7 linked regions of the Cricetulus griseus genome follow. The protein of the gene in region 1 binds, or shares a complex with, the protein of each later gene. Links are inferred from orthologs where the notes say so. Each region holds a gene or a part of one and is shown on either strand. Other genes may lie near its edges.

Region 1 (4,094 bases):
TCCAGGGCAGCCTGGTCACAAACTGAGGTCTAGGACAGCCAGAGATACACAATAAACAAACACCCTCACTTGGCCACTTTAAAGGGACAACATGAAAGAACGTGGCAAGAAGCACCATTTTCAAGACAGAAAGGCTAAAAAGGAGAAAAGTTTGAATGAATTGTTCACTGCTGAGTTTGGAGAATTTTCTACAACATTTTTACCATATTCTGTATCTCAAATCTACTGATTTGTTTGTATGGTAATGGGAATTAAACCTTGGATCTCTGACATGTCAGGCTAAGTACTCCACTGCTGAGATATGTTCCCAAGACTTTTCCTCATCCTCTCTGTATCACTGACCTGTTAATGGTATCCAGGTATGGGCAGTGACGACTCCTCCGGTCCTCAGAATCCACTCGGCCATTCTTTGCTGAGAAGAAATCCATCACAGACTTTAAAATGGAAAACTTGTGCTGGGATGTAACTCAGTGATAGAGCACTTAATTAGTAAGGGCAGGATTTGCTCTTACACAGCATCATAAATGGAGGACAGCAGACTACTCAAATCACAAGTACATTTTGTTTTGTTTGTTGCTATTTCCCATGGATATTTCCCATGGAAATGGGAAAATCTGATCAACTAAGATTAAGATGAGCTTTTAATTTTCTTGTAGTGACAACATTCCAAAAAAACTGCAAACTGAGATTAGATCTATTACACACATAACCAACAAGAGATTAATTCACATATTACATAATCTAAGCAAGTGAAGACTGCTTAGTAAAGGTATTTGCCACCAAATCTAATTACTAGAGTGCATGGGAGCAAGAGAGAAGAACTGACTCCCACAAATTGCCCTGTAACCTCCACATGTACACCATAGTACATGCACACGTATATATAAATAAATGTACTACACCTTTTTTTTTTCACCATGTGTGGTGGTGCACACACTACTAATCCTAGCCCTTGAGAGGGAAAGACAGGAGAAATCTGTGAGTTCAAGATCTACAGAGAAAGTTCCAGGCCAGCCAACACTACTTATTAAAACCCTGTAAATAGCCAGGCGGTATAGCTTCTATCGTCTTTAATCCCAGCACTCAGGAGGCAAAGGCAGGCAAGATCTTTGTGAGTTCCAGGCCAGCATGGTCTACAGAGAAGTTGCAGGACAGGCTCCAAAGCTACACAGAGAAACCCTTTGTCGAAAAACAAAGCAAATAGACCCTATAAATAAATAAATAAATAAATAAATAAATAAATAGGGGCTGAAGATATGGTTCAGGGGTTAAGAGCACTGACTGTTCTTCCAGAGGTTCTGAGTTCAATTCCCAGCAACCACATTGGTGGCTCACAGCCATCTGTAATGTGATCTGGTGTCCTCTTCTGGCATGTACTGTATACATGATAAATAAATAAATAAATAAATCTTTAAATAAATATCTAATGAGGTGCTGGGTAGTGGTGGCTCATGCCTTTAATGCCAGCACTCAGGAGGCAAAGGCAGGTGATCTCTGTGAGTCCAGAGGCCAGCCTGGTCTACAAGCTAGTTCCAGGACAGCCAAGGCTACACAAAGAAACCCTGTCTCAAAACAAACAAAAACAAAACATAACCCAATATATCACAAGTATTAAGATAAGTTGAACATCTTAAATCTACCATTTGTCTAAGAATTGTGATGGTTCTGAGAGTTAATCCTACTAGCAAGCTGATTTGTTAGCTTGCCACAGCTTCATGATCACTGATGGAAGGCATGTGATATCACTGACTAAAACCAAGAGTCTATTAAAGCAATAACAATAGCCAATGACATGACATCTTCACCAGTTCCTGGATTCAAGTCACACAAGAGAATAGAAAGAGCCAGTGCTCAAACTGGGTTGCCTTATTAAAAAACCCTGCCCTTAAAGAAGGGTATCCTATCTGCTTGTGAGTTTACGTCCCTTTAGCTCTATTATGGAATAATAATACAATCTGTCTCCCAAGGGTAGTCACTATATCAACATCCTTGACAAAACAATACAGAACCCCTACAACAACCTCCTGCAAAACCCAGGAGAAGCAGAATTGTCTCCAAACTACTGAACTAATAGTCAGTACTTTAATCGGGTGCAGAGAGATCCCGGCTGAACGAGCTTATTCCAGATATTACAACAGGACCCTGCATCTTAGGAATTTTGCAAAAACTGTAGAGGGGAATACCTGTAACGCTATCAGCAGAGCACCTAACTCACGTGGGCTATTCGACAAAGGGGAGCCGTGATGTATCGTGACAACGGTTAATATTAGAACTGTCTTCACCTGAAGACAGTCCAGTCTGGATTCAACCTTGGACAGGGAAGCGTAAGAAGCAAGGGAAAGTAAAAAGCAGGCGAAAACTGGCAGGAGGTGAAGGCGAGAGGAAGGTTATCTCTGGCTACAACAGCAAGTTCCTGAGACCCTGTCTCAAAAAAAGAAAGAAAAGGGAGAAAAGAAGAAAGCAGGCGAGGGTGGAGGGCGCACCCGGCCCGGCCCCGCGCACCTCGCACCTCCCGCTCGGGCTCCGAGTCCTCGTCGGCCTCGCGCTCCCGCTTCACCCTCACGGCCGGGGGCGCAGGCGCCGGGACCTCTCGCGCAGTCGGCTCGGCTTCCCGCTTCACGCGGACCGGACTGCCCCGAGAGCTCGCCGCCTCCGGCTCCCGCTCGCGGTCTCGCTCCTTCTTGATGCGACCCGAGCTACCCCGCGACTCGGACTCGCGCTTCCCGCGGGTGGAACCATGAGACTGCCGCTTAGACCGGCTAGACATCGCCGCCACCGGCTAGGAGCTTCCGCGCTGGCGCCGCGCACGCTGGAGGCACGCGGCCAATCAGGAACCGAGCTGGCCTCTGACGCGCAGCTCCCTACGAGTCGCTGAGAGGGACAATACAGACGGCTGGACCCTAATGGGCACTACTTGCCCAGTTGAGACAATTCTTTATCCATCATCTCTTCACAGATTAAAGAGATAGGAACCTTTCACAGGCTACAGTGATTGTAGAAGAAAGGAAGCTGGCATTCGACACAGTTTGTGTCTCGAAACGACAATCCAGAGAAGTCCTCTGATCCAGAGCTGATGACCTACACAGAAAAGAGAGTCAGTATTCCCAAATTTATCTCCTCCATTCAGGTTTGTACCTGGGAACTTCAATTAGTACCATATTTAGAGGGATCCTGAAATTAGAAAATTGCAAATACTCTGCCAAGGCTCACTTACTGTTTAGCTAATAAAACTCCAAATTCAGTTTTACCACTGAGGCATGCCTTAGTCCCTGCCTATTTGAACAGTTCCATTGAGGTATAATTGACATACAGAGTACCACATATTTGACGAGTGTAATTAGCTAAATTCTGAAGTGTGAACACTTGTGAATCCATTGCCATAATCAAGAGAAGAAACTTGTCTCACTCCAGAAATGTCCTTGTGCCCCTGTGGATTCCCACCCAAACCACTGGGTGACTGCATTTCCTAGAATTTTATACTCGAGAGTTATACAGTGTTAACTTTCTAACTTGGCCTCTTTTACACCTGACGTACAGACAATCTATTCCTTTACATTGCATTGCAATATTCCATCACACAGTTGTACTAGTACTAGTCTGTCACTGTTCTAATAATGAGTTCCTGATTTCCACATTTTGAAACAAGGACTTAAAAAAATATAGACTCAGGCTGAGGCAGAAAGATTCCCAAAGTTTAAGGCCAGCCTAAGCTACATAGTTAGGCTGAGACTATCCTGAGCTCCATAGCAGAAGGAAAGAAAGAAAGGAGAGATGGCTCAATATTATTAGACCCTCAAAAGCCTTGGCTCCTCCCATGGGCACAGTTAAGCAAGTGGTCTGGGCCGGGACAGTGAAGCCCCAATGTGGCTGGAATAGGGGCTGGGTATGGGTGGAGAAAACTTACCTACCTGAGCACTTGTCTGCCTCATTACCTATATGAGACAGGTGTTCTTAGTATGTCCACTTGAAAATAAGCAAGCAACTGGGAAGATGGCTCAGATGGCGAGAATGCTTACTGTACAAGCATGAGGACCTGAATTCAAATCCCAACACCCACGTACAAAGCCTACAGTAAGTAAACTGGGTGGCGCACG
Region 2 (3,500 bases), on another chromosome or scaffold:
TAGGCTTTCCTCTGCCTCCAAGAAGACATAGCCATTCATCTTCCTGAGGTTAGGATTAGAGTACCTTTAGAGGGCCTTCCACCTTCTATTACCCCAACCCCTCCTTTCTTGAGGTGGTTTCACTGTGTTGTCCTGGCTGACCTGTAACTCTGCAGGCCAGGGTGCTCTCAAATTCAAGAGATCTGTCTGCCTTTATGCTGGGACATGGGCGTGAAACTTACTTTTTCATTGTGTTTGTATTTTCAGGTCCCAGGCCTGCCAACACCTATAGAGAATATGATTCTTCGGTATGTTAAGGCCAAGGCTGATTGGTGGACCAATACTGCTCACTACAACCGTGAACGAATCCGCCGTGGGGCCACTGTAGACAAGACTGTTTGCAAAAAGAACCTGGGCCGCCTCACCCGCCTGTACCTGAAGGCAGAACAGGAACGGCAGCACAATTACCTGAAGGTTGGACCAGCTGGGCTGGGTGGTAAAGTGGGTTGCAGAGTGGAGATCATGCTTTGTATTGGTTTGGATGATAGTGGGAGACTAGCTTCATTCATGTTCACCTTGCAGGATGGGCCTTACATTACAGCAGAAGAAGCAGTGGCTGTGTATACTACCACTGTGCATTGGTTGGAAAGCCGTAGATTCTCTCCCATCCCATTCCCTCCACTCTCCTACAAGCATGACACCAAGTTGCTCATCCTAGCTCTGGAACGCCTCAAGGAAGCTTATAGGTAAGGAATGACTGGGAGGGTAATAGGGAATGGCATTGTGGCCCGAGTCCAAAGAAAGGTGTAGTCCTTTTGCAACTTCTTGGGTTTTCTCATTCACCTTTCCTTTGCTTTGTTAGTGTGAAGTCTAGGTTAAACCAGTCTCAGAGGGAAGAGCTGGGTCTGATCGAGCAAGCCTATGACAACCCCCATGAGGCTTTGTCCCGCATCAAGCGTCACCTCCTCACGCAGAGAGCCTTTAAGGAAGTGAGTGATGCTCCCTGAGCCTTTTGGTCTGTGCTATTTATCCTTGGCATCTAGAGGATGCCAGGCTGGCTGGTGAATTGATGTGAACCAGGTTTCTTGTCCCACAGGTAGGCATTGAGTTTATGGATCTCTATAGCCACCTGGTGCCAGTGTATGACGTGGAGCCCCTGGAGAAAATAACTGATGCCTACCTGGACCAATACCTGTGGTATGAAGCAGATAAGCGCCGTCTTTTCCCACCCTGGATCAAGCCTGCCGACACGGAGCCGCCTCCACTGCTCGTTTACAAGTGGTGCCAAGGTAAACTTCGCTGCAGTTCCCACCCAGCAGAGAAAGGTGATTCTGTCCATGTAAAAACTCTGACCCAGGCTGCACATTCAGTTTGCTCTCTTTGCGTGGTAAGAATGAGTGCTATTGCCTGGCACTGGTGGCACACACCTACAATCCCAGCTTACAGGAGGCTGAGGCAGGCAGATTGATGAGATCAAGGCCAGCCTGGTCTACAAAGCAAGTTCCAGGACAGCCAGAGCTATACAGAGAAACCCTGTCTTGAGAGGGGGAAAAATGAATAGTGTGGATGTTGAGCAAAACTGACACTTGTAGCAGCCAGAATGAATGAATGGTAGAGGGTTTTGGAATGTGTTGAGACTGCTATAGTTAGTTACTAAACCTGGAAAGGAATTTCTAATCTGCTAAACTCTTGTCTTTTTGCTTCTTTTAGGCATCAATAACCTGCAGGATGTGTGGGAGACCAGTGAGGGCGAGTGCAATGTCATGTTGGAGTCCCGCTTTGAGAAGATGTATGAAAAGATTGACTTGACCCTGCTTAATAGGCTGCTGCGACTCATTGTGGACCACAACATAGCTGACTACATGACAGCCAAGAACAATGTTGTCATTAACTATAAGGTCTGTCTTGGAGCAAGTAGCAAAATGTGTCAGGGGGTTTGTCTGACCCATCGAGTTAGGATTTGCTGAGGCAGAGTGAAGGAGATTGGACCCTGAAGCACCTGGGACAGAGCCAGTCTTAGCCATACTAAGAGTTGTGCGTTTTTGTTTTTGTTTTTTTTTCCTAGGACATGAACCATACAAACTCATATGGGATCATCAGAGGCCTGCAGTTTGCCTCTTTCATTGTACAGTACTATGGCTTGGTGATGGATTTGCTTGTATTGGGATTGCACCGGGCCAGTGAGATGGCTGGGCCTCCTCAGATGCCAAACGACTTTCTCAGTTTCCAGGACATAGCCACTGAGGCTGCTCACCCAATCCGACTCTTCTGTAGATACATTGATCGCATTCATATTTTCTTCAGGTAAAGAACATGGTCTGATCCTTTAACCTGCATGTCCTCACAGCACTGAGGCATGTCCTGCCTGTGAAATGGCTCTTGTAGCTTAGTTGACTAGTTGCTGAGTTGAAGCTATGAAGTGAAATGAAGTCTAGAGTAGCATAGGGTCCCCACTTGTGGAGCTGGCATTCTCAAAGTGTCCCCTGTCTTAATGTAGGTTCACAGCAGATGAAGCTCGGGATCTGATCCAGCGTTACCTGACGGAGCATCCAGACCCCAATAATGAAAACATTGTTGGCTACAATAACAAGAAATGCTGGCCCCGAGATGCCCGAATGCGCCTCATGAAGCATGATGTCAACTTGTGAGTCTCAGTTGGGCTTGTAGGAGTAGAAAGAATGCCAGTCCTAGGGACCCAGAAAGCAATTAAAATTGAGGAGGTTATATCTTGGGTAGGAGGAATATGGGCCTATCTTCTGTCTGGTCTATGAATGCAAGTGTCTTCAACAGACTGAAATTCTTATTTGTTCTCTGTGGACAGGGGTCGGGCAGTGTTCTGGGACATCAAAAACCGGCTGCCACGATCAGTGACTACAGTACAATGGGAGAATAGCTTTGTGTCTGTGTACAGTAAAGACAACCCCAACCTGCTGTTCAACATGTGTGGCTTTGAGTGCCGCATCCTGCCTAAGTGCCGTACCAGCTATGAAGAATTCACCCACAAGGATGGGGTCTGGAACCTTCAGAATGAGGTACAGTCTAGGAAGGACATCACTTTACCACCCTTGTAACTCTGGCATCAATGGGGTGAAAAACAGTCACACCTTTTCATTATCAGCTCAGTGACCCTTAGGTGGGTTGAGCTTAGTAGTGATCACGATTAATCCTTGCTTGTGTAGCCCTGGCTGGAATTTACTTTGTAGACCAGACTGGCCCTGATTGTCTCAGAGATCAGCCTGCCTCTGGCTCCACCTCCCACAGGTTAGGATTAAGGCATGTGCCACCATTCCCTGCTATTCCCTTTTTATTTTTTCTTTGAGACAGGTCTTACTGTTCAGTGATGGCTGACCTGGAATTTTATATAGACCAGATTGGCCATGAATTCACCAAGATCCTCCCTGGAATCTGCATTCTGGGATTAAATGCATGCATACCATGTTAGCTTTTCATCTTATTTATTGCCTTGTTATTTTTGTGGAGTTTGGAGGACAGCTTGTAGTTAGTTCCACTCTGTGGGTTCT
Region 3 (4,157 bases), on another chromosome or scaffold:
AATATAGTAGACATATGTAGAACCAAAATAATCAAGAACTTAACTTGAAGGAAATACTCAGGAAAAATTTTGTGGCTATAGCAAAATGTAATATAATGAATGCTGTTTAAGTTTCTGAAGAAATAGCTTCTTTTAGATTTGGCTGGTTAATCTCTTGGGTACACCTTTAAACCCCCCTGTTCTGAAAAACCATAATTGTATAGAATCTGAATGAAATAAATAGAAACTTGGAATGTAGAAATTGGGAAGAAAAACAAATTAGACTATTTATTATAGCACTTGGCAAATGGTAGTTATCATAAACCCCTATAAAGGTGCTCTCATCTTCATTATATATGCAATTATTTTATCAGGTACGATAAAGACAGAACTACTGAGTGTCAATACAAAGTTTCTGTTTAGCTTTTCTTCTATAAGCATTTTCTAACAGAAATATAAGAAATTTAAACCTGAGGATTTCAAAAATCAGTTATTTGTAAATTATCTGATAAATGCAACAGACTTCTTTCAATGTTTAAACAAACATATTCCTAATTTCACATTCCAAATTGCCTACTGTTGACAAATTTAGAGTGTAAACTCACCACCACTAAACAAAAAACCTTAAGACACCTGTTTCCTTTATGGGTTTTGGAATAAAACTCAATTTATAACACACTTGTTATACTGAATCTCTGTGAAAGTAACTTGGTTTTTTTTTTTTTTTTTTTTTTTTCTAAGCCTGGTTCCTAATCTACAATATAAGTGATAATTCTTCTTGAGATTCCTTGCAGACTAAATAACACAAAATTCCTAGCATATGATAAGCACTGCAATTACTATGGCAGTCTATCACTTTGACTGGTGTTGCTCACTAAAGAGCAAGAAGAATCAAAGGGATTCAGAAGAAGATAAGGAGGCTGAAGAAATGGTTAAAAGTATATACTATTCCTCCAAAGGACCTAGTGTGGCTCACAATGGCCTGTAACTCCAGCTCCAGTGGATCTGACAACTCTTCTGGGCTCCTTGTGTAGTGTACCACCACACATGGCAGACACTAACAAACAGACATACACTCAAACCTAACTAAAAATAAATCTTTAAGAAAACAAAATCACGAATGGGAAAACATGGGATTAAATTACAGCCGTGAAAGAAATATTGCAGAGACAGTAGATGAGGCAATGGTCCCAAAGATCATACCCCAGTGAAGTCACAGCTAACTTAGTTTCTGAAACCACTCTCACAATATTTGAAGAACAATGAAATCACTGAATACACATTTCTCAGATTGGATCTCCCCATTGTTAAGCAACTTACAAGAGCATATGCATAATTTGTAAATCCTTAAAGAGCTCTAAATGAAAACAAACAAAAGGAATTGAGGTTAAAAAAAAAAAAAAGAATGCAAGAAGAAAATTAGTCGGCACAGCTCTGCATTCCAGATCAGAAGACTTCAAGGTTTATTAGGGAAGCTGTATTGACAGCCAAGAGATAAAAGTCTGTCAAAACAGCTGGATCTCCAGCATACATGCGGGCAGAACACTGTGTACTTTAAATTTAAACATTCTTAAAAAAATAAAACAGCTGGATCATAAGAACACTAGAATCGAGGTTATACCGTGGTACCTCAGCATTAGATTAGAAACGTAACTTCAAATTTACAATCAATAAGCCTACAAAGAAGCAGACTGAAAATGCCACTCACCACAATCATTCTCCCATCAGAAGTGATAACGGCGACGGTTCCTGAGAACTGCGTCAAGGAAAGTATTTCTTAGAGATTGCAGAGTGAAAACTTTCAGCCTGGTAAGGAAATGGTCTCAATTACTTAAAAAAGAAAAAAGTGGCGGTATGAAGGTTCGACACAGCCGCTGCTCACGAGGTACAAAACTGAAGGTTTGAAACTTGTTTCAATTCTATCCTGAAAACAGTAAATCTAATGGGAGAAGGGTAGAGTCTGACATCTGACCCTGGGTTTAAAACAGCAATGGGTTCCAATCCCTAACACTGAGAGATACAATCCCTTCCTTTCTCAGACCAATGTCTTCACCTCTGAAATAAAAACTGGACGCGTAACTATCAATGTTGCACCGTTGTGGCGCGTTAAGCCCCCTCCCCTAGTCCAAGACCTGGTCATAATTAATGCCACCAAGTACAAACAACCCTGGATTCCTTAAAAGCTCTCTGCTTTGAACGCCTGAGTTTCTTGTCTGTACCAGATGTGCTCGGTGCACGGTTTCTGTCCTGACTTTGCAGCAGCGCTTGTAATTTAAAATCTCACCTGGGATCTTAAGAGCTCCTTGCCTGTCACTGAAGCCCAACACGATTCCAGGCTTTCCTTCTAAGGGTATCGCATGGACACTTCCAGGGGGGGCCCGAAATTCACCTTGGAGAACCAAGCACCTTTCTATGCATGCGAGCCTCGAGCCAACCGCAAGCCCTGAGAAAACCGGTCCAACTTATTCCCGACGCTGGCCCGCACAAGCCCTAAGGGATCTGCAGCAATCCAGCCAAAGGCTCCTTGCAGGGAAGCTGTGCCGGGTGAAAAGGGCCCGGGTCTGTCCGGATGACCCCACCGCCGGTCCCGAACCCCGAGTCCTCCCCGCCGCCCCGGGTCTCCGCCCCCGCCCCGCCCCGCCGCGGCCTGGGCAGCCGCCCGAGGATACGGTTGATGTAGTTCTCCAAGGCAGACGTCATGCTGCTGGGCCCGGAGGTCCCGGGAACAGGAGACAACCCGGCAACAAGGAGACGAGACACGGCCGGGCCGCCAGAAGCACGTACCGGTTCCCGCCGCCCGCCCGCCCGCCGGTGAGCACAGATACCGCGAGACCAACGAGTACCTAGCAGCCAATCGGCACTCGCAAGGAGCCGACCAAACCGGAAGCCGGGCGGGGACTGACTCGCGCGCGTGCGCAGCGTGCATCCGCCGCGCTTCCGGGTGCCGGTCGGTAGAGGGAGACGGACAAAGGCGGGGACGGGCGGAAGTGTGGGCTGGATGCAGGCGCTGGGAGGCTCGCCAGCGGAGGGGCGGGAGCCGCGGTCGTGTGGGAAGATCGGCTGTGCCGGAGACGCCCTAGATGAGATGTTTGCTCGTCCTTGGGAGGAAGGGAGCTCTAGCCTTCTCCAGCGCGAGCCAAAAAAAAGTTCCGAAAGACAAATGGCGCGGTGCAAAGCGAACGTCTTTGTAGCCCGCACGAGGTGCATTTCCAGGGAGAGCCCAGCTATCAAAAGTGCTCGTGCATTCTGCTTTTGGCTCTTCAGGTGTCACGAAGCAGCCTTAAGGAAACGAACTCCAGAGAGGGAAAGGTGTGCGCGATAGATGGTCACTTTGCACGGCTAAATCGAGGCTTAGCTTTTCTTGGGGATGAAAGTTGTAATTAAGAAAGTCTACATTGCCACTCTGAAGGGACCGATTAGAGGAAAGCGTAAACTAAGCACCAGGCTGGGTTCTAATTCTATCCCTGATAATTGATGTCCCTGTTGTAAAGTCACTTAAACTCCTCTTGATCTGATTTCACTTAGATGCTGTACAAATGTGTTAGTCAGTCAACCGTACATAACCAATATTTTAAAATTTTAGTGTGTGTTGAAAGGGGAAAATTAATAAAATCTAAAACCCAGACTCCAAAGCCCAAAAAGAAAACTCAGTTCCCAAAAAGCAGTCCAGCAGACAAGGTTAAACAAAGGGCCTCAGGACTCAAGCCCTTAGACCAGATATCACACCCTAGAATGGCACTCACATTCCTCTGGTCCAAAGAGGATCAGATAGTTATCAATTGTAGAAGTCCCCAGCCCAGGAGACTATTAACAAACCCATTTCCTCTGCAGTATCCTGCTTAATTAAACCTTGCATGAAGCATAACAATCTTTGTCCTGTCCTGTGTAACTACTGAAGTTATGTAATCTTGGGGCTTCCAGCCCTACAATTTTCCCTTTTAAAAACACCCCTCAGTCGAAAGTGGGTACTCCTTTGTTCCCAAACGAATGGGGTCCTTGCTGCAGCTGGTGTCCTTGAGTCAATAAAGAAACCTTTATCCTTGCATTTGGTGAGTCGTCTTCTTGTTGGCAGGTTCTTTGGGGATTCCGAAATCTGGGCACAACAGTGTGTGTGTGTGTGTGTGTGTGTGAGAGGGGGGGGGGTGAGTCGTCTTCTTGTTGGCAGGTTCTTTGGGGAT
Region 4 (2,830 bases), on another chromosome or scaffold:
AGCTCAAGCTAGGAAAAACAGAGCCCAGCAGTGACTCTTGCTAACCTGCAGAATCACAGATTCCTAACACACCAAAGATGGTTTCTGTTGCTTACCTGGCTGGCATTTGTGCCTCCCAGGGCAGGGTACTTAGGCATGGCCCCCTCAGTCAACATGGATTAAAACCACTGGCTCCCCAATCAGCCCGGTGCTGGGTGCATTCTGCACACACTCCCCAGGTCTCCTAGGTGCCTCACCGTGCAGATGTGGATCTTGGACCAAGGAGGCATCTAGCCTGAGGGTCAACAATAATCCTATGACCTTTGTTGGGCCCTGGAGCTTTGTGGTGGCCATACTGTTTGGCCGTGATGCTGAGGTTCTCAGGGGGTGGGTGGTGATGTCAGAAATGGACGGGGCTTTTCTCTTCTTAGATTCCAGGACAGGAGCAGAAGAGATACCTGGACTGGAAACCCCATAGCTCTGACTCCTCTGGGTCTTTCACAAATAATCACACCCTCTGGTCAGAGCCTGACACTGTGCATTTAATTGTACTCTTTCTAGAAAACCACTTCCTTTACCCATGTAAGTAAAAAAGACGAGTGTGAGGAAGACCTCCGCCCATTTAACTGGGGCAGCAGCAGTCTGGGTTCTGGGGAGACGGGCCGAGGCTCTTCACCCCGTTTCTTGGATGCTCTGGCCTTGGGCCAAGGACAGAGCAGGGCAGGCTGCCTCCACCACAACTTCCTTGCCGGAGGTCGGTCACTTCAAAGCTCCAGTTGTCCATGTCCTTCCAGTGGGTGGCCACCCGGGGCCTGGCCCCTTCAGGTGGACATAGTGCCGCTTTTCTCACCCTTGACCTTGAGGAACTCAGCCATGCTAGAGAAATACTTCTGGTTGGCCTCTGCCACCTTCTTCTCAGCTGCTTGTGGGTTCACAATCTCCAGACCCTGGGTTGGGAAGGGAGGGGGGCAGGTAAGGTGGGGAGGCCCAGGCCTCCCTGCTGTATGGGAACCAGACATGTCACATTCCCCGAACATTCTAGCGGACACGGAACTGTTGACAGCCCCTGGAGTCTCCCTCAGCTCGGGAGATTCTGACCCAGTGGGTCTAGGGGCAGGGCCTGGGTATCAGCATTGTTAACGTCCTCAGGTGATGCTAAAAAAAACACCACTCCTGTCTGTCTGATTCTGGATGAGGAAACTGAGTCTTACAGGGACATGACCAGCCAGAGTTTCGGGCGACTCTCACGCCATACAGTGATGACAATGCCGGCACTCGCCTTTCACCCCTGCTGCTGCTTTCTGGCACCCATGGCCTAATACAGTATATACTTGACTCGTTCATCTGTCCTCCAACCCATGACCCCCCCAAAAGGCACAGCTTGTCTCTTTATCACTATACCTGAAGCCGGGAAGAAAGATGGCACAGATTCAGAGTATGCATTCTAGCAGGCTTGTCACATTACCGGACACATTTGCCTACCTCTGTGGTGAGTAACCCGAGGCCACTCTGCTTCATACTGTCCAGGGCCACTGGGCTGTGACACTGGGACCCACCTTGAGGCTACCCTGACGACTGGGGCTATCTCAAAGTGAGGACAGGAAGCTCAGAGTATCTGGGCCACACGGACAGAGTCCAGTGCCAAAGTTGGTCTGAGCTTGTGACAGCTCTCACTGCCAGCCATCTGCACTGAGTTGTGGCTCCGGATGCCTAAGCTCTTCATGTGTTAGGTCAACAGGGCTGCTACAACCCCACTACATGCCTGGTAGGAGAGGGTGTGGTACCTGGAGTGGAGTGAAGGCCACACTGGAGGCAGTCCCTGAGGAGCGGTCTCGGATGGTAGACTTCCCGCCGTATACCACACTCTGTTTCTGTAAGGTCCGCTGCAGGGAGAGGGGGAGGCCATGACGCAGGCTCACAGACCTCCGTGCCCTCCTTGCCGCCCACTCCCATGGGCCCTGGCCATACCTGCAGTGTTTTGGAGATCCTGGCCTTGGTGGCCTCATTCACCTGTGTCTGCCGCACACGCCCACTGCCTGACTTGCCCAAGTGGCCCAGGCTAAAGCCCAAATCTTCTTGATAGGCATCTTCCTCAATCTAGAGAGGGGAGTGACCACTGTTAAGAAGCTGGCCACATTCGGCCAGTCCCCCAGGCCTGTCCACTGGGACCCAGGGAGTCTCCAATCAGCAGGTCTCACGGATGCCTGAAGGACTCACTGCACTAAATGACCTTGTAAGAGCCCAGCCTAGCTCTGCTTGGATGTAGCAGGGAACCCTAGGAAGAACTGCTTCCTGACCTAAACAGAGAGTGGCCACTGCTCCCTAAGCTCTGGTTAAGTTGCCAAGAACTGGGATGGGCTGCGCTACTGAGATGGCGCCTAAGTGGATTCTCTCGGGACCTCCTGGATGATGGTTAGACACGGTGGCATGGGGAGCTGGGTGGGAGGGCAGCGGGCTCAGAACTGCAAAGATCTCCATGGGGTAGGGTGTTTTGAGAGGAGAGGCTAGGCAGGAGGGATGCGGCTGGGGTAGCCCCAGATCTGCTCTAGGGTTGCAGGGTGGAGGGGAGGGATGGCAGCAGGACATGCAGAGAACCCTCAAGGTCCCACTGCTACTGTGAGCAAGCCTGACCTCTCCAAAGCTCATGCGGTTGGCCTGCTTCCGGATCTCTGTCAGCCCCAGCCGCTCCTTCATCTTGCGGTACCTGGGGAAGGTGAGAGTCAACAGGACATAGGAAGTCGGCTGGGAAGGTGCCAGCCTCCCTCCCACCCCGCTTCCCAGCTTCTAGCGCCACCAGAGCCCCTTACCTGCGGCCCCCTCGCTTCTTCCGCTGCCCATCAAGGGGAGCAGG
Region 5 (4,259 bases), about 12 Mb from region 1:
TGATAGGGAAACATCTGGTTTTGAGATAATTTAAAAGACTTACATGTAATCTGCCTCGAAGCTCTCGGTCGTTTCTCATCTTCACATAAATTCGCTCATCCAAACTGAGCCTGATGAGATCCAGGGGCTCCTCTACGGTATTGGTAGTCTGTTGCTGATGAAGGAAACACACTTAGTAATGGACCACCAGAGGCAGAGTGGTGTTTCAATCACTGTTAAGCAGTGAAACCAAGGGCTAGTCACATAACCCGTTTATACCTTAGTCTAATTTGCCAAATGCAGAAAATAGTGTCTCCCCAATACTATTATTTTAAATGACATATGAAAGCTTAGAACGGTGCCTCGATGCTATGTAAAAGAGGAGAAAAACATTATGTGGAGAGGAGTTAAGTAGCAAAATGATGACTGAACTTCCAAAAAATCCAAAGTGTTAGAGTACCACTTAGGAACCTTAGCTTTATCTTTTGTATAATTCAATCATTTGAAAAACATACCTGCAATACCTATTCACACACTACTAAAAAGATCTGACAGAATTTGAAGTCAGTACAGCGCAGGTTAAGTTTAGGGTGCTAATTGGCTGGCAAGATGAACCTACCTACCGAGTAGTATAGTATAGAAGTTAAAAGAACTGAGTCATTAGGAAGCCTTTGTTCAATTCTGGGTTCTGACCTGGCTCTTCTGAACTGGGATTAAAAATCATGCCATTTCTTGTTTCAGACTCCTCATTTGCAAACTGGGGAGACCACATCTTTGCCTCAGAGATCTTATAAGGACTAAAGGGTCTATCTGAAGTAAAAAGGAAACACTTCTAAATAATTACCTTTTTTTTTTTTTTTAAGAGGCATGCCCATGACAGCCTTTGATGAGCAGCAAGTCTTTGCCTCTCAGATGCTGGGATTGGGCAGGTATGAACCGAGTCTGGAACTTTTAAGAGTGTGTGTGTGTGTGTGTGTGTGTGTGTGTGTGTGTGTGTGTGTGTGTGATGGGGTTCAAGTAGCTGTCAGAAGACAACTTTATAAAGTTCTCTCCTTCCTCTGTGTGTCCCAGGAATTGAACTCAGGTTGTCACGCTTACAAACTGCAAGCATTTTTACCTGTTATCTTACCAGCCCCACTCCCAGCACCTGTAATTTCTTATATTTAATATAATCTCTTGCTTGCTTCAAGATTTAAGAATGCATTCTTGGTCAGTCATTTCAGAGGAATGATAAATCAGAATTACTCTTCAAGAACTGTTGGAACAGGTTTCAAAGGTTAGAACTGGGATGACCTGGATTCAGCTATATGAAAGAGGTGGTTCCAGCCATCAAGAATTAGTAAGACCATTCAGCAAGCTTCTCCAGTGAGTACCTGGGGTCAGTGAAAGCTGAAAATTGTAGGCTGTGTAGATATGAGGCTGATGACAGGAAACAAACAACCCTCCCAGAACACCCCCAACCCCGGATCTCAACTGGTGCTTTCCTCCTCCCACCTTAGCTCAGCAGGCTTTTGTTAAGAAATCAGACAACCAACCACTGGATTACAACAATACAGAAGCCGCATCCCCTCAATGGAGCTCACTCTAGTATGGAGAGGGGCATATAAATACATAGCTGCAAAACAATGAAATCTGTTCCCACGACAGCCCTCTTCAGTCTAGGATGGCCACTGTCAATCCTTTTCACCCTGTAAGCTTTACATTCTGCCTTTTCAAAGAAGCTGCCCCTGAACATTGGGTTCGTTCCCTCAACTAATAACCTGCTGAGTGCTAACAGCACTGTCCTAAACCTAGGAAAGAAAAGCAAACACAGAAAACCCCCCTTTATTTTAAAGGTTTACTTTTATCGTGTATGTGAGCAGTTTGCCTGTATGCATGTGCACCACACGCTGACACAGTGCTCGGTAGCAGAGGCCAGAAGGGGGCAGAGGATCCCCTCCTGCAACTGGAGTTAAGATGCGTTGGGGTGCTGTTAAGCCAACATGTGGGTGCTGGATCCCAACCATGGTCTTCTACAAAAGCAACAAGTGCTCTTAACTCCTAAAGCAACCTCTCCAGCCACCCCCGCCCCAATGCCCCTATTAAGTAACTTACGTTCTAGTTATGGAAGAAATGTCTCAGATAAAGAAATACATATTTAAAATAACATGCTCTGTTATTTTAAATACCCGTGTGTGGGTGCGTGTGCGTGTGAGGGAGTGCAATCATTTCGGAACTCCACAGGTAGCTAAGGAATAGGGGGAAGAGCAGGTGAAGAGGGCAGCCTGTGATCCTGTGTGCACCCGATCTTGGCTTGCTTTCTCCAGACTACATCTCCACCAGGTTCTCTACCTCCCTCCCTCCCTCCTACTGCACTCCAAGTGAGCCGCTGCCTGCGCACCAGGCGCTTGCACGTATTACAAAGCTGGTGTCCACCACTACCTCACGCTTTCTGTCTGGTGTCGACAGCCGTTTGCATTTTACAGATAAAAGCCGATGCCGAGCGTGATGGGCAGATAGGCGGGTTGAGAAAACTCTAGGCCTGCGGAAGTTTCAGGAGCCGGCGCGGCTACGGAAGGCCGTGGTTCCTCGGGACAAAGAGAGACGGGCCGCTTCTCAGCGAGCGTGGAAAACGCGAACCCGACCTGGAAGCGCAAGCGCTTCCTCTAAGAGCGCCTCCGGACAAACTTACCTGATCTACGTCGTCCGCCATGTTTCAAACGCTGCGCCCTTTCCACCTCTCGCGAGAACAGGCACTCAGAAACGCAAAGGGTTCCACTCTCGGGAAGTAGACCTACTTTATTTTTGTCCCTTTGCGCCCCTGTAGTTTGCAGGGGGAGGGGTTTCTCCGGAGGGCGTGGTCCCAACCTGGTCAGGGGGCGCGGCCCAGGCATGGCCCGCCTCGGGGCGGGGCGAGCACGCGGAGAGTGTCTGCGGCCGGCTGGCTGCGGTAGCCCGGAGTGTCGCTGCCGGGCAGCATGGCTCCGAAGCGCCCTGCGGGAGGAAGGCGGCGGGGGCGCGGCCGAGAAGCCGAGAACAACAAAGCAGCCCGGCCGGAGGAGAGCGAGGCGGGTGAGAGGCTGCGGCGCGCAAGGCGATGGTGGCGGAGGCTGGGGCGGGCAGCGGGGCGGAAGGTCTCCACGGCCGGATGCGCGGCGCCCCGAGGGCCTCTACCATCAGCCCTGACCCCACCGTAACCCCTAGGACCAAGTCCAGCCTCTTGGCAAGTGTTGAGGGCCGATCAGGAAAAAGCTTCCCTGTTGCCCGGTGTCAGAGAGACACCAAAACTAGGACAGAGGGAGACCTTGTAGTGTGAGAATCTCTCTCCAAGTTGCATCCACTGTAATTCCGGCCCCAGGTTTGCGATGCGCTTCTTACCTTGGTCTTGAACCAAGGAGAAGCTTAAAATATTCCCATCTCAATAAATCACTCCTTCACCCACCTGTTAAAACACGCCTTTTCTTAACTGCTAGTTCGTCAGGAGGTCCAGTTCAGCTTCGGAGTCACTGAAATATGTGCCTAATTCTCTTAATTTCATAGCTGGTATCCTGTTCCTGTCGTTTTCTAGTTGAGTGAGTTCCCCTCTACATCAGATCTCCATCCAGCAGCCAAGTGATGTAGAACGACAACAAAACTTCATATGCCTTGGTCTTCTTACTTAAAACCTTCTTAGATGTGTGCTCTCCGTGTATAGCATCTACCTCACTTAGCATGTCTCTCTTCCAGATATTCTTATTTTAAACAGCAGCCCGGCCTAGAGCTCTGGGTTTTTCCTGTCTCATCCTCATGATCACAGGGATTACAGATGGCTCTTGGTGACTGCCTTTCTCTTCTTTGAATATACTGTTTATTTATCTGGAGGCTTGGCCTTCCATGTTTCTTTGCCTTAGAATGTTCTCCGTCGCTGTTGCTGGGTCTAATTTCTTCTCTACTTGAGGTCTAAGACATTCCACGGTCATCTTAAAGTAGTCATTCCTAGGTATCCTCCACCACAGAATCACAGTGATGTTCCTATTCACCTATCATTCTACAGTCATCTTCATTTCTGATTGTTTGAGTACAATGTAAGCTTCATAAAAACAAAGCTCATTTCCCTTCTTAACCTATTTTGTTCTTTCTCTTGTTTACATCTCTGAAAAAACACTTTACTATTTTTTTATTTTATGCATATGTTTTTTGCATGCATGTCTGTGCACAATGTGTGGGCCATGCCTGCAGATGTTAAATAGATGAGGGTGTTGGATTCCCCAGAACTGGAGTTACAAAAGGTTGTGAGCTGCCATTTCGGTGTTGGGAATTGA
Region 6 (4,242 bases), about 21 Mb from region 1:
ACTATCATACCACCTAAAACTCCCCATGTGCTCCTCATGGACCAAAGCCACCACTGTCTCTCCCCTATCCTTCAATTCCCATTTCCCAGATCATCAACATCTGCTAGTAATCCCAACATTAATTGATGCTTAAGAGTTTCAACAATGGTTCCTGATGAACTAAAGGTAATAAAGATTAATAAGCAAATGAATCTTAAGGCCCAATGCTCTTTCAATAGCTGCGTTGGGGCACTGATCACTGAAGGCTCCCTTCCCATCCTCAGCATGTCTAGACCGTGAACACTGAGCTAAGCAGCAGTGTTCTGTAATCCCTGCCCTATAAAAGTAATTAAATTCAAAATAAAACAGCTTTAATGTCTTACCATCGTTATATTATTTCCATTTAGTAAAATCTGATCTAATTTTGTAATCCTTCTTCCTTCTGGTGTAATTTCACTAAATAGATAAAAAATGGAGTCAGGATAAACAAGTATTCAAAGGCAATTATTTTGGAAACGCTTTTCCTCTCTAAAAATTATTCCTGGGGTAAAGAGGTTAGCTCGGTGGCAGAGCACCACCTGGGTGGCAGAGCACAAGGCCCTAGGTTCAATCCCTAGCATCAAAACTGTTATTCTTACATATGAATGAATGTGAACTCATACAATTACAATAATTTTCAGCAATACAGTCTGCCCACCAGATAATAGTTATGTAAATATAAAACTTCATAAATACAGAAGTAAATATAAAGATATATTACAAAGATATAATATAGAAGTAAATGTAAAGTCACTATAAAGCGTGTTTACACTAATTTCTTAGAAATTCAGGAATAATGACATTAAGATAATAATCTTCTGGCCCAACCTCACAAATACCGGTAAATAAGTCAGCATTAAAAGAATTCCAACAGGTAATACTTTATCCATCATACTAATCCTGCTATTGTAGTTTAAATGAAAATGGCCTCCACGGGCTCACGTTGACAGAACTGTTTGGGAATGGCTAGGAGGAGTGGCCTTGTCTGAGGTGTGTCACTGTGGCGGTGGGCTTTGAGGTTTCAAAAGAATAAATTATAACCAGTTGGCTCTCTGTTTGTCTCATGGTTATCTCAACATAGAATCACTTAGCTATTGCTCCAGCCCCACACCTGCCTGCCTGCCTGCCTGCCTCCACACACCTCACCATGAAAAAACGTGGACTCTAACCCTCTGAAACTGTAAGCAAGCCCACGCAGTAAACGCTCTCTTTTATAAACTGCCTTGGCCATGCTGTCTCTTCACAGTAACAGAAAAGGAACTAGGGTACCTGCCTTTAATTCAAAAAGATATTTCCTCCTCTCCTCCCCCATTTATTTGTCATTTTTAATACTACTCACAACTCTGTGACATCTTCCAACACCATATCTGAAATTTGTTGTTAAGAAAATAAACAAGGTTGAATTTATTCTGGTTTATGTTTTTGTTTGGTTGCAAAAATGTTCAACACAATGGTGCAAATTCAAAAGGTTTGTTGTTGGAGAGAACCCTATCTGCTTTCTGCAAGCACACCTCTTAAAATGTTACCAAGTTCCTGGAAAATAAATAATTTTTAATGTAATAAACAGAAATATGTCATCTGTCTACAGCTCTTATATTAATACATCTTTAAAAACCTGTTCCATGAACACTTTTTAAAAGGATACTGACAAAGTCATCAAATCCTAGAAGTGTACCAACAATTTCTTTATCACTCTTCATCACAATGTGAATTCTTGATCCTATACACTTGTCCACGAGCTCTGTGGAAAGAAAAAGATTGTTTTACCCACTTATTAGTTCAACAAGCATTCGAGTGCTCACTTTACTATTTCCGTATCATTAAAGAGAAACAAAAAGCAGTCACTAAATAACTACATCTTACACAAATCTCCGCTCAGCCATTAGCACAAATGTTTGTCTTGGCCTTCGCTTACCTCCTTTTTTGCTGCAACTAACGGGACTGTGATTTTGACTATTTGGTTAATGTATGAAAAACAATTACACCACAAGGTGGAAACCATGTTAGTTTTTCCTCATCAGTGTTTCTGCCGATGAACATACCCTGGAGTGGACCCTGCAAGAACTTTCCATCATTGCCACATTGACTAACTTCACCGGCGCCAAAACATGACAGAGGAGAGGCCTCACGACCGACACCAGCTTCCTGTCACTTCTCTCATCTTGCCTTTAGCTCTGTGCTTGGAGACCAACCTGAGCATCTCCGTGGCCAACCGAGAACTGCTCGGCACGAAGTCTTTCAGTGTGCTATCTGAAAGCAATGGCCGTAGTTTAAATTCGTTATTCAACAGTACCCTGGCACGGGGAGGGAACTGCTTGATGGATGGATGAATGAATGAATGAACGAACGAATGACGGAGCTAGTCTCCAGATTTCTTTCTAGGAGTCACTGTAGACCGTGGCGCCCTCCTCACACCGCCAAATGCAATACAGGGGCTCCCTAAGGTGTAGACCGGAAAGGCCACACTGCGAGCTGGGCCGGCACCGGGACATCTTAACCGGCGAGCTCACAAGCAAGGCCGAGGGCGTCCTTCACCAAGTGGGGCCCCCGCCGGCCGCCGACAGACAACGGGCTCGGTCTCCGCAGCGGCCCCAGGGGCAAGCCTCCGGCGCGGGCGTGGGGCCGCAGCAACCCGCCCGCGCCCCGGGCGAGACTTTTACCTAGCGGCAGGAGCTGAGACGGGTTGGTGGTCGCGTTAGCCGCCATGGCCACGCCGGAAGTGGCATAGGGCTACGGGCGCAGACTTTAAAAGAGCGCGCTTCCGCCCTTTCCCACAACTGGCTCAGACGGAACTAATCGGAGGCAGATCTGGCGATCGCGGGGTATCCAAATGGATCACCGACAGACTCGATAGAATAGTTCCGCACTATATCGGTGCCACCATCCCGTGCCCCCGAAGTTTTGCTAACTTGACAGTTTGTCTCCTCTATATCTGCCTGAAGACTACAACATACGAGATCTCTGAGTCGGCTAGTTTTCCTCTAAAAGGTTGGATCTTTCTTCAGAGCCATAAAATCAATGAGGATTTGCTATCACCAACTCGTTCTGCGTTTGTCTCAACTACTACTCATTTTCTTAAGGAATCCTGTACTTTTAAGCCTAGAGTACTGAAAACCCTTACGAAGCATCTTTTAAAAATATTCTATACCGAGTATTCAAAGGTTTTTTTTAATTTTTGCTACTTTATTTTATTCTGGTTTTTCGAGGCAGGGTTTCTCTGTATTGTTTTGGGGACTGTCCTGGAACTCGCTCTGGAGACCAGACTGGCTTCGAACTCACAGAGATCCGCCTGCCTCTGCCTCCCCAATGTTGGGATTAAAGGCGTGCACCACCAATGCCCGGCTTCTTCTTGTCCTTTTAGAAGTCTAGTTTATTGCAGGCTTTTGCAGTTACTAACACTTATTGATTTACAGGTAACTGCTAGATGTCACTCCGTATGTTGGTGTCATCACATTTGGAAAACATGCTATCACACTTGTGTTTTGGAAAAAGATAAAAAGCTGCTGTGAGGAGTGGCCAGCAATCCCAGCGCTTAAGAAACAGAAGGAGGCCACAGTTGCCAAGCATGGACAACTTAGTAAGACCCTGACACGAAATAGGAAATAAAAACTAATGAGAGCTTAACCACCTTGCTTAGCACTAGAGTGCTTTCCTAGCATTCATGACTTCATGAGACCTGGGTTGTCCCTACTTAAAAAGAAAAAAAAGCAGCAGGCAAATTCTTTAGCTTCGGTTGTCTCATTTGTGTCTGAGGGACTTAAACAATCTGAATAGGAGAGATCATAATCAACACCATTCATTTTTACAGTGTTTGGTAAGCACCCCTCATACACCGTTTAATTAGCAGCTCGCTGGGTATATAAAGCAATGTACAGAAAAGTCTTCTACAAGAGTGAGTGAGAAGAAGGACAAATAAATTGTATGTATATAGCACTATGAAGTTTAATAGATAAAGCAATGCCTCTAGGGATCCTTGGAAACTCCACTCCATTCTCAATTTCAAGCCAGTGGTGGCTTTTCCCCACAAACCCCATTCCATAAATCTCGTGTACCTACTAGGTGTCGGGGCAATTACAAATACATTCTTTTATTTTGGTTTTTCAAGACAGGGTTTCTCTATGTAACAGCCCTGGCTGTCCTGGAACTCACTTTGTAGACCAGACTGGCCTTGAACTCACGAAGATCCACCAACCTCTGCCTCCCAACTGCACAAATACACTCTTT
Region 7 (4,097 bases), on another chromosome or scaffold:
TGGGATAGACAGATAAGACAAATTTTAGCCGGGCGTTGGTGGCTCACACCTTTAATCTTAGCCCTCAGGAGGCAGAGGCAGGTGGATCTCTGTGAGTTCGAGACCAGCCTGGTCTACAAGACCTAGTTCCAGGACAGCCTCCAAAGCCAGAGAAACCCTGTCTTGGAAAACAAAATAAAACAAAAAAACAACAAAAAGAGCACCCCACACTTTCTGATTTTTTATTTTGGAGGCTGGCCTCTAACATGATCATGGTGATCCCTCTGAGTGCTGAGATTACAGGAGTTTGTCACCAACTTACTATCATTATGCTTCTGGAATAACCTTTCCTTCAGGCCCCTCAGACTCAGTGCTCACCTATCAAAGGCCTTCACCCGTCCCAGGAGCTTTTTGTTGTTTCGACAGTTAATGAGCACTTGTGTGTTGTTCTTGACCGACTGTGTGAGCACCGAGAGGGGACCAGTGTTGAATTCCTCCTCTTCCCGCTTCTGCAGCTCTTCTGGGGTCATCTCACTCTTGGGTTTATTGAGGAGACTCCTGAATAGAAAAACCACGGGTGAGATGGGTGAGCTTGGAAGTGTGAGTGATCAAAGGCACTGTCCAGTGTCTCCTCAACCTGGTCCCCAAATGTCCTTTTCAGAGGTGGGAGAGACATTGTCTATTTAGCCCGTTCCAGCTGTCTAACCACCAAAACCTCTCCCACCCACGCATTCCCCACGTCTTCACTGATGGCAACTCTATTCAGCGGGTTCTCTAAGCTAGAACTCTACTGTTTAATTGATTTCTGTTTTGGTGACAGGATCTCCTATAGCCCAGGTTAGCCTTGAACTTGCTATATAACTAAGGACGACCTTCAATTCTCAATTCTCCTGACTCCACCTCCCAAGTTCTGGGATTACAGGAGTTCAACATCAAGCCCGGCACTCTCTTAAAGGAAATCTACCCTCACATCTTGTCATCTGCCTCTACGACATATCCAGAACCTGGCTATTTCTATCCATGGCCTAATCTTCCGTTACCTTTCTCCTGGTGCCCGCCATCCCCACAACAATGTCTTACTGTGTAACCCTGGCTGACCTGAGACTCAGACTATCCATCTCTGCCTCCAGACCTCTGGGATTACAGGCATGCTGCCACTATACCCAGAACCCAAGGTAGCCATGTACTCTGCCCACTGAGCTATAACTCCAGCCCAGTGTTGCATTTTCAGTCTTTTTTTTTTTTTTTTTTTTTTTGTGGTAGCTACTCAAATTTCTTCATCCGCACTCTCCATCATCTAACACGTTCTCTGGTCTTCCTACCCCATTCCTTTTACCAGCCCCAGTGAGAAAAACTTTCTCTCGGTGGCACGGACCTTTTATACACCGTGTGTCTAACTTAACAACCAGTCTGTGTAACACCTGCTTGGTGAATAAACACATCAAACCATGGCAGTAGCTTGCTACTCTGAGAGTCTCCAGGCAGATTGAAAAAGCCCCCCTGTCTGTTTTCTACCTTATCCTGGTTAAGTCCCTCATTATGATTTTTGCTTGTTTGTTTTTTTTGGAGAGCCTTTCACTATTTTTTAATAGAACTCCCTTCCCCTGCCGAGACCTTTATCCATTTACGGCTCCCATTTAAAATTACTATTACTTTTGGAAACGGTCTCCATGTGCAGCCCAAGGCTGGGCGCGAATTCACCATCCTCCTGCCTCACTCAGCCTCTCTTGGGCATGTGCCACCAGGCTCAGCTTTCCTCTTACAGCTCTTTTCACAAGACTCAGTACAGAGCAGGGTCCCACGCCCGTTATGCTGTCGGGGCTGGAGAGATGGCTCAGGGGTTAAGAGCACTGGCTGCTCTTCCAGAGGTCCTGAGTTCAATTCCCAGCAACCACATGGTGGCTCACAACCATCTATAATGAGACCTGGTGCTCTCTTCTGGCACGCAGTGTATACATGGTTAATAAATAAATATAACCACATGGTGATTTACAACCATCTGTAATGGGATCTGGTGCTTTCTTCTGGCACACACTGTATACATGGTAAGTAAATAAATAAGTAAATCTTTTAAAAATAAAAATGAGGGGGGCTGGAGAGGTGGCTTAGGGGTTAAGAGCACTGACTGCTCTTCCAGAGGTCCTGAGTTCAAATGCCAGCAACCACATGGTGGCTCACAACCATCCGTAATGAGATCTGGTGCCAGATCTGGTGCCTTCTTCTGGCACGCACTGTATACATGGTAAGTAAATAAATAAATCTTTAAAAAATAAAAATGAGGGGGGCTGGAGAGATGGCTCAGAGGTTAGAGCACTGACTGCTTTTCCAGGGGTCCTGAGTTCAATTCCCAGCACCCACAGGGTGGCTCACAACCATCTATAATGGGACCTGGTGCCCTCTTCTGGCTCGCACTGTCTACATGATGAATAAATAAATAAACTTTAAAAAAAAAGAAAAAGAAAGAAAGAAAGAAAGAAAAGAAAGAAGAAGCTGTCCGGCTCCGGAACTCCAGACCCGTCCTTCCAGGCCCCACGCCCGTCCCCTAACACCTCAGGAGGAACCTCTGCCCCCGCTACGAGCACCCCAAGCCGACAGTCCACCTGCTAAGCCGCCCGCGTCCCTCCCTCCACCTTCGCGTCCCCGCGGGAGCCCAGCCCGGCCTCACATGGTGGAGGTTTCGATCGCAGCTCACTCCCGCCTCCGCCGCGTTGCCGTGTAGCCTCCGGAGTAGAGCGAGCGGAAGGCGGGACTTCCGCCTCCCTCCTCTGGGATCACTTCCGTCGGCGCCTGCGCAACCCGCCCCAGCGGCGTGGGCGTGTCACGTTGCCATAGCGACCCGGCGGCGGCTCTCTGCCGTAGGAAATGCCTGGAGGGAGGATTCCATGTCAGTGAGGATCACAATAGGGGGACCCCCCCGCTCGCGACTAAACAAAAAGGGGGAGCCGCCGGGCCTGGCTCGAATTAACTCCCCGTCTGGGTGGAAGAAGAACGGGGGCGGGGAGGAGGCGGGGACACGACACACAGCTCCGTTTCCAAGCGCGCGGCGCCCGCCTCCTCCTGGGGGGGCGTGGCCTCGAGCGAGCCAATCGCCTCCTTGCTTCAGGGATGGGCGCCGCCCGTTTCTCCTTGATGGACACCTGAGGGCGGCGGGCGCGGCTTCCGCACGGTCAGCCGCCACTCATTGGCTGCGCCTCTTGCGTGGGGGGCGGGCCCTCGGGTCTGCGCACCGCCTTCTGGAGAAGAAGGAGCCAATCGCGGCCGTCTGCGCGACGATGCCGCCGCCGCTCTGCTTCCCTATTGGCTTGCGTAAGCGATAGGGGGGAGGGGCGGAGCCTGGCCTGGACTCAAACCTCAGTCTGGGACGACCGGCTTCGGGGCCCCGCTGCTGCCATGAGTCCCGGGAGCCGCGGGCGGCCCCGGCAGCGGCTCGGGGATCGCGGCGCGATGCAGCCGCCCTCGCTTTCCAAGCGCCGCCTGCTGCCGCGAGTGCAGCTCCTGCCCCTGCTGCTCTTGGCGCTCGCCCTGGGCTTGGCGCTCTTCATGGTCTGGAACGGCTGGCACCCCGAGGTTCAGGAGCTGTCACGCAGCCGGGATCTGCGGGTGAGGCCTGCCTGGGGCCCCGGTCCCTCCTCCGTTTCCCGTGCCGAGCGGGTGACATCTCTTTCTCCATCACTCAAGCAAGCGCACGCCCCTGCCTCGCCGTCCTGGAGATGCAGGCGGTCAGCCTAGCAACGCGGGCAGATCTGAGCTCCGCGCCCCAAGACATCTGTTTGCAAGGTTCCCGTCAGGGCTCTAATAGTAGCAGGGGCCAGATCTGCCTTGAAGACGCCCTCCCGCTCTAGGGTGTATGCATGTGAACTCCAAGTCTTTGCTGCACCACCAAGAAGAGTCAGGGCTCCCAGGGGGCAGCGGCGCCCAGGAGAGGGTGGGGATGGGGGGTTTTGTCTTCATTCTTCTCTTCCCCACCAAGGTCCCGCTGATTGGAAGCCTTCCGGAAGCCAAGCTACGGACGGTGGTAGGGCAGCTGGATCCGCAGCGTCTCTGGGGCACTTTCCTGCGTCCCCTGCTGATTGTGCGACCCCCGGGTAGCCCCGGCAATCTCCAAGTGAGAAAGGTAA

What was found.
Region 2: Usp39 (region 1) and Prpf8 share a complex: the UniProt entries of both Homo sapiens proteins name them as parts of the U4/U6-U5 tri-snRNP complex. The link is inferred for Cricetulus griseus from reciprocal best matches to the Homo sapiens genes USP39 and PRPF8.
Region 3: Usp39 (region 1) and Lsm8 share a complex: the UniProt entries of both Homo sapiens proteins name them as parts of the U4/U6-U5 tri-snRNP complex. The link is inferred for Cricetulus griseus from reciprocal best matches to the Homo sapiens genes USP39 and LSM8.
Region 4: Usp39 (region 1) and Prpf31 share a complex: the UniProt entries of both Homo sapiens proteins name them as parts of the U4/U6-U5 tri-snRNP complex. The link is inferred for Cricetulus griseus from reciprocal best matches to the Homo sapiens genes USP39 and PRPF31.
Region 5: Usp39 (region 1) and Lsm3 share a complex: the UniProt entries of both Homo sapiens proteins name them as parts of the U4/U6-U5 tri-snRNP complex. The link is inferred for Cricetulus griseus from reciprocal best matches to the Homo sapiens genes USP39 and LSM3.
Region 6: Usp39 (region 1) and Lsm5 share a complex: the UniProt entries of both Homo sapiens proteins name them as parts of the U4/U6-U5 tri-snRNP complex. The link is inferred for Cricetulus griseus from reciprocal best matches to the Homo sapiens genes USP39 and LSM5.
Region 7: Usp39 (region 1) and Snrpd2 share a complex: the UniProt entries of both Homo sapiens proteins name them as parts of the U4/U6-U5 tri-snRNP complex. The link is inferred for Cricetulus griseus from reciprocal best matches to the Homo sapiens genes USP39 and SNRPD2.

What each region holds. Positions count from the first base shown.
Region 1 is NC_048601.1:64,076,363-64,080,456, forward strand, and holds the start of Usp39 (U4/U6.U5 tri-snRNP-associated protein 2), read right to left. Parts: upstream 2,801-4,094; 5' UTR 2,768-2,800; coding exon 2,503-2,767; intron 413-2,502; coding exon 343-412; intron 1-342.
Region 2 is NC_048600.1:88,943,112-88,946,611, forward strand, and holds part of Prpf8 (pre-mRNA-processing-splicing factor 8), read left to right. Parts: intron 1-246; coding exon 247-453; intron 454-561; coding exon 562-725; intron 726-841; coding exon 842-968; intron 969-1,075; coding exon 1,076-1,268; intron 1,269-1,689; coding exon 1,690-1,877; intron 1,878-2,044; coding exon 2,045-2,283; intron 2,284-2,476; coding exon 2,477-2,623; intron 2,624-2,800; coding exon 2,801-3,011; intron 3,012-3,500. UniProt on the Homo sapiens protein: Plays a role in pre-mRNA splicing as core component of precatalytic, catalytic and postcatalytic spliceosomal complexes, both of the predominant U2-type spliceosome and the minor U12-type spliceosome.
Region 3 is NW_023276806.1:207,804,434-207,808,590, forward strand, and holds the start of Lsm8 (LSM8 homolog, U6 small nuclear RNA associated), read right to left. Parts: upstream 2,801-4,157; 5' UTR 2,680-2,800; coding exon 2,649-2,679; intron 1,729-2,648; coding exon 1,688-1,728; intron 1-1,687. UniProt on the Homo sapiens protein: Plays a role in pre-mRNA splicing as component of the U4/U6-U5 tri-snRNP complex that is involved in spliceosome assembly, and as component of the precatalytic spliceosome (spliceosome B complex).
Region 4 is NC_048602.1:21,556,712-21,559,541, reverse strand, and holds the end of Prpf31 (U4/U6 small nuclear ribonucleoprotein Prp31), read right to left. Parts: coding exon 2,787-2,830; intron 2,684-2,786; coding exon 2,611-2,683; intron 2,077-2,610; coding exon 1,948-2,076; intron 1,863-1,947; coding exon 1,764-1,862; intron 927-1,763; coding exon 801-926; 3' UTR 501-800; downstream 1-500. UniProt on the Homo sapiens protein: Involved in pre-mRNA splicing as component of the spliceosome. Required for the assembly of the U4/U5/U6 tri-snRNP complex, one of the building blocks of the spliceosome.
Region 5 is NC_048601.1:52,288,973-52,293,231, forward strand, and holds the start of Lsm3 (U6 snRNA-associated Sm-like protein LSm3), read right to left. Parts: upstream 2,801-4,259; 5' UTR 2,672-2,800; coding exon 2,651-2,671; intron 155-2,650; coding exon 44-154; intron 1-43. Other genes in the region: Xpc (DNA repair protein complementing XP-C cells), read left to right, coding at 2,937-3,030. UniProt on the Homo sapiens protein: Plays a role in pre-mRNA splicing as component of the U4/U6-U5 tri-snRNP complex that is involved in spliceosome assembly, and as component of the precatalytic spliceosome (spliceosome B complex).
Region 6 is NC_048601.1:84,604,347-84,608,588, reverse strand, and holds the start of Lsm5 (U6 snRNA-associated Sm-like protein LSm5), read right to left. Parts: upstream 2,801-4,242; 5' UTR 2,725-2,800; coding exon 2,679-2,724; intron 1,760-2,678; coding exon 1,664-1,759; intron 1,386-1,663; coding exon 1,358-1,385; intron 436-1,357; coding exon 363-435; intron 1-362. UniProt on the Homo sapiens protein: Plays a role in pre-mRNA splicing as component of the U4/U6-U5 tri-snRNP complex that is involved in spliceosome assembly, and as component of the precatalytic spliceosome (spliceosome B complex).
Region 7 is NC_048602.1:28,213,612-28,217,708, forward strand, and holds the start of Snrpd2 (small nuclear ribonucleoprotein Sm D2), read right to left. Parts: upstream 2,801-4,097; 5' UTR 2,647-2,800; coding exon 2,645-2,646; intron 538-2,644; coding exon 358-537; intron 1-357. Other genes in the region: Qpctl (glutaminyl-peptide cyclotransferase-like protein), read left to right, coding at 3,370-3,579, 3,950-4,093. UniProt on the Homo sapiens protein: Plays a role in pre-mRNA splicing as a core component of the spliceosomal U1, U2, U4 and U5 small nuclear ribonucleoproteins (snRNPs), the building blocks of the spliceosome.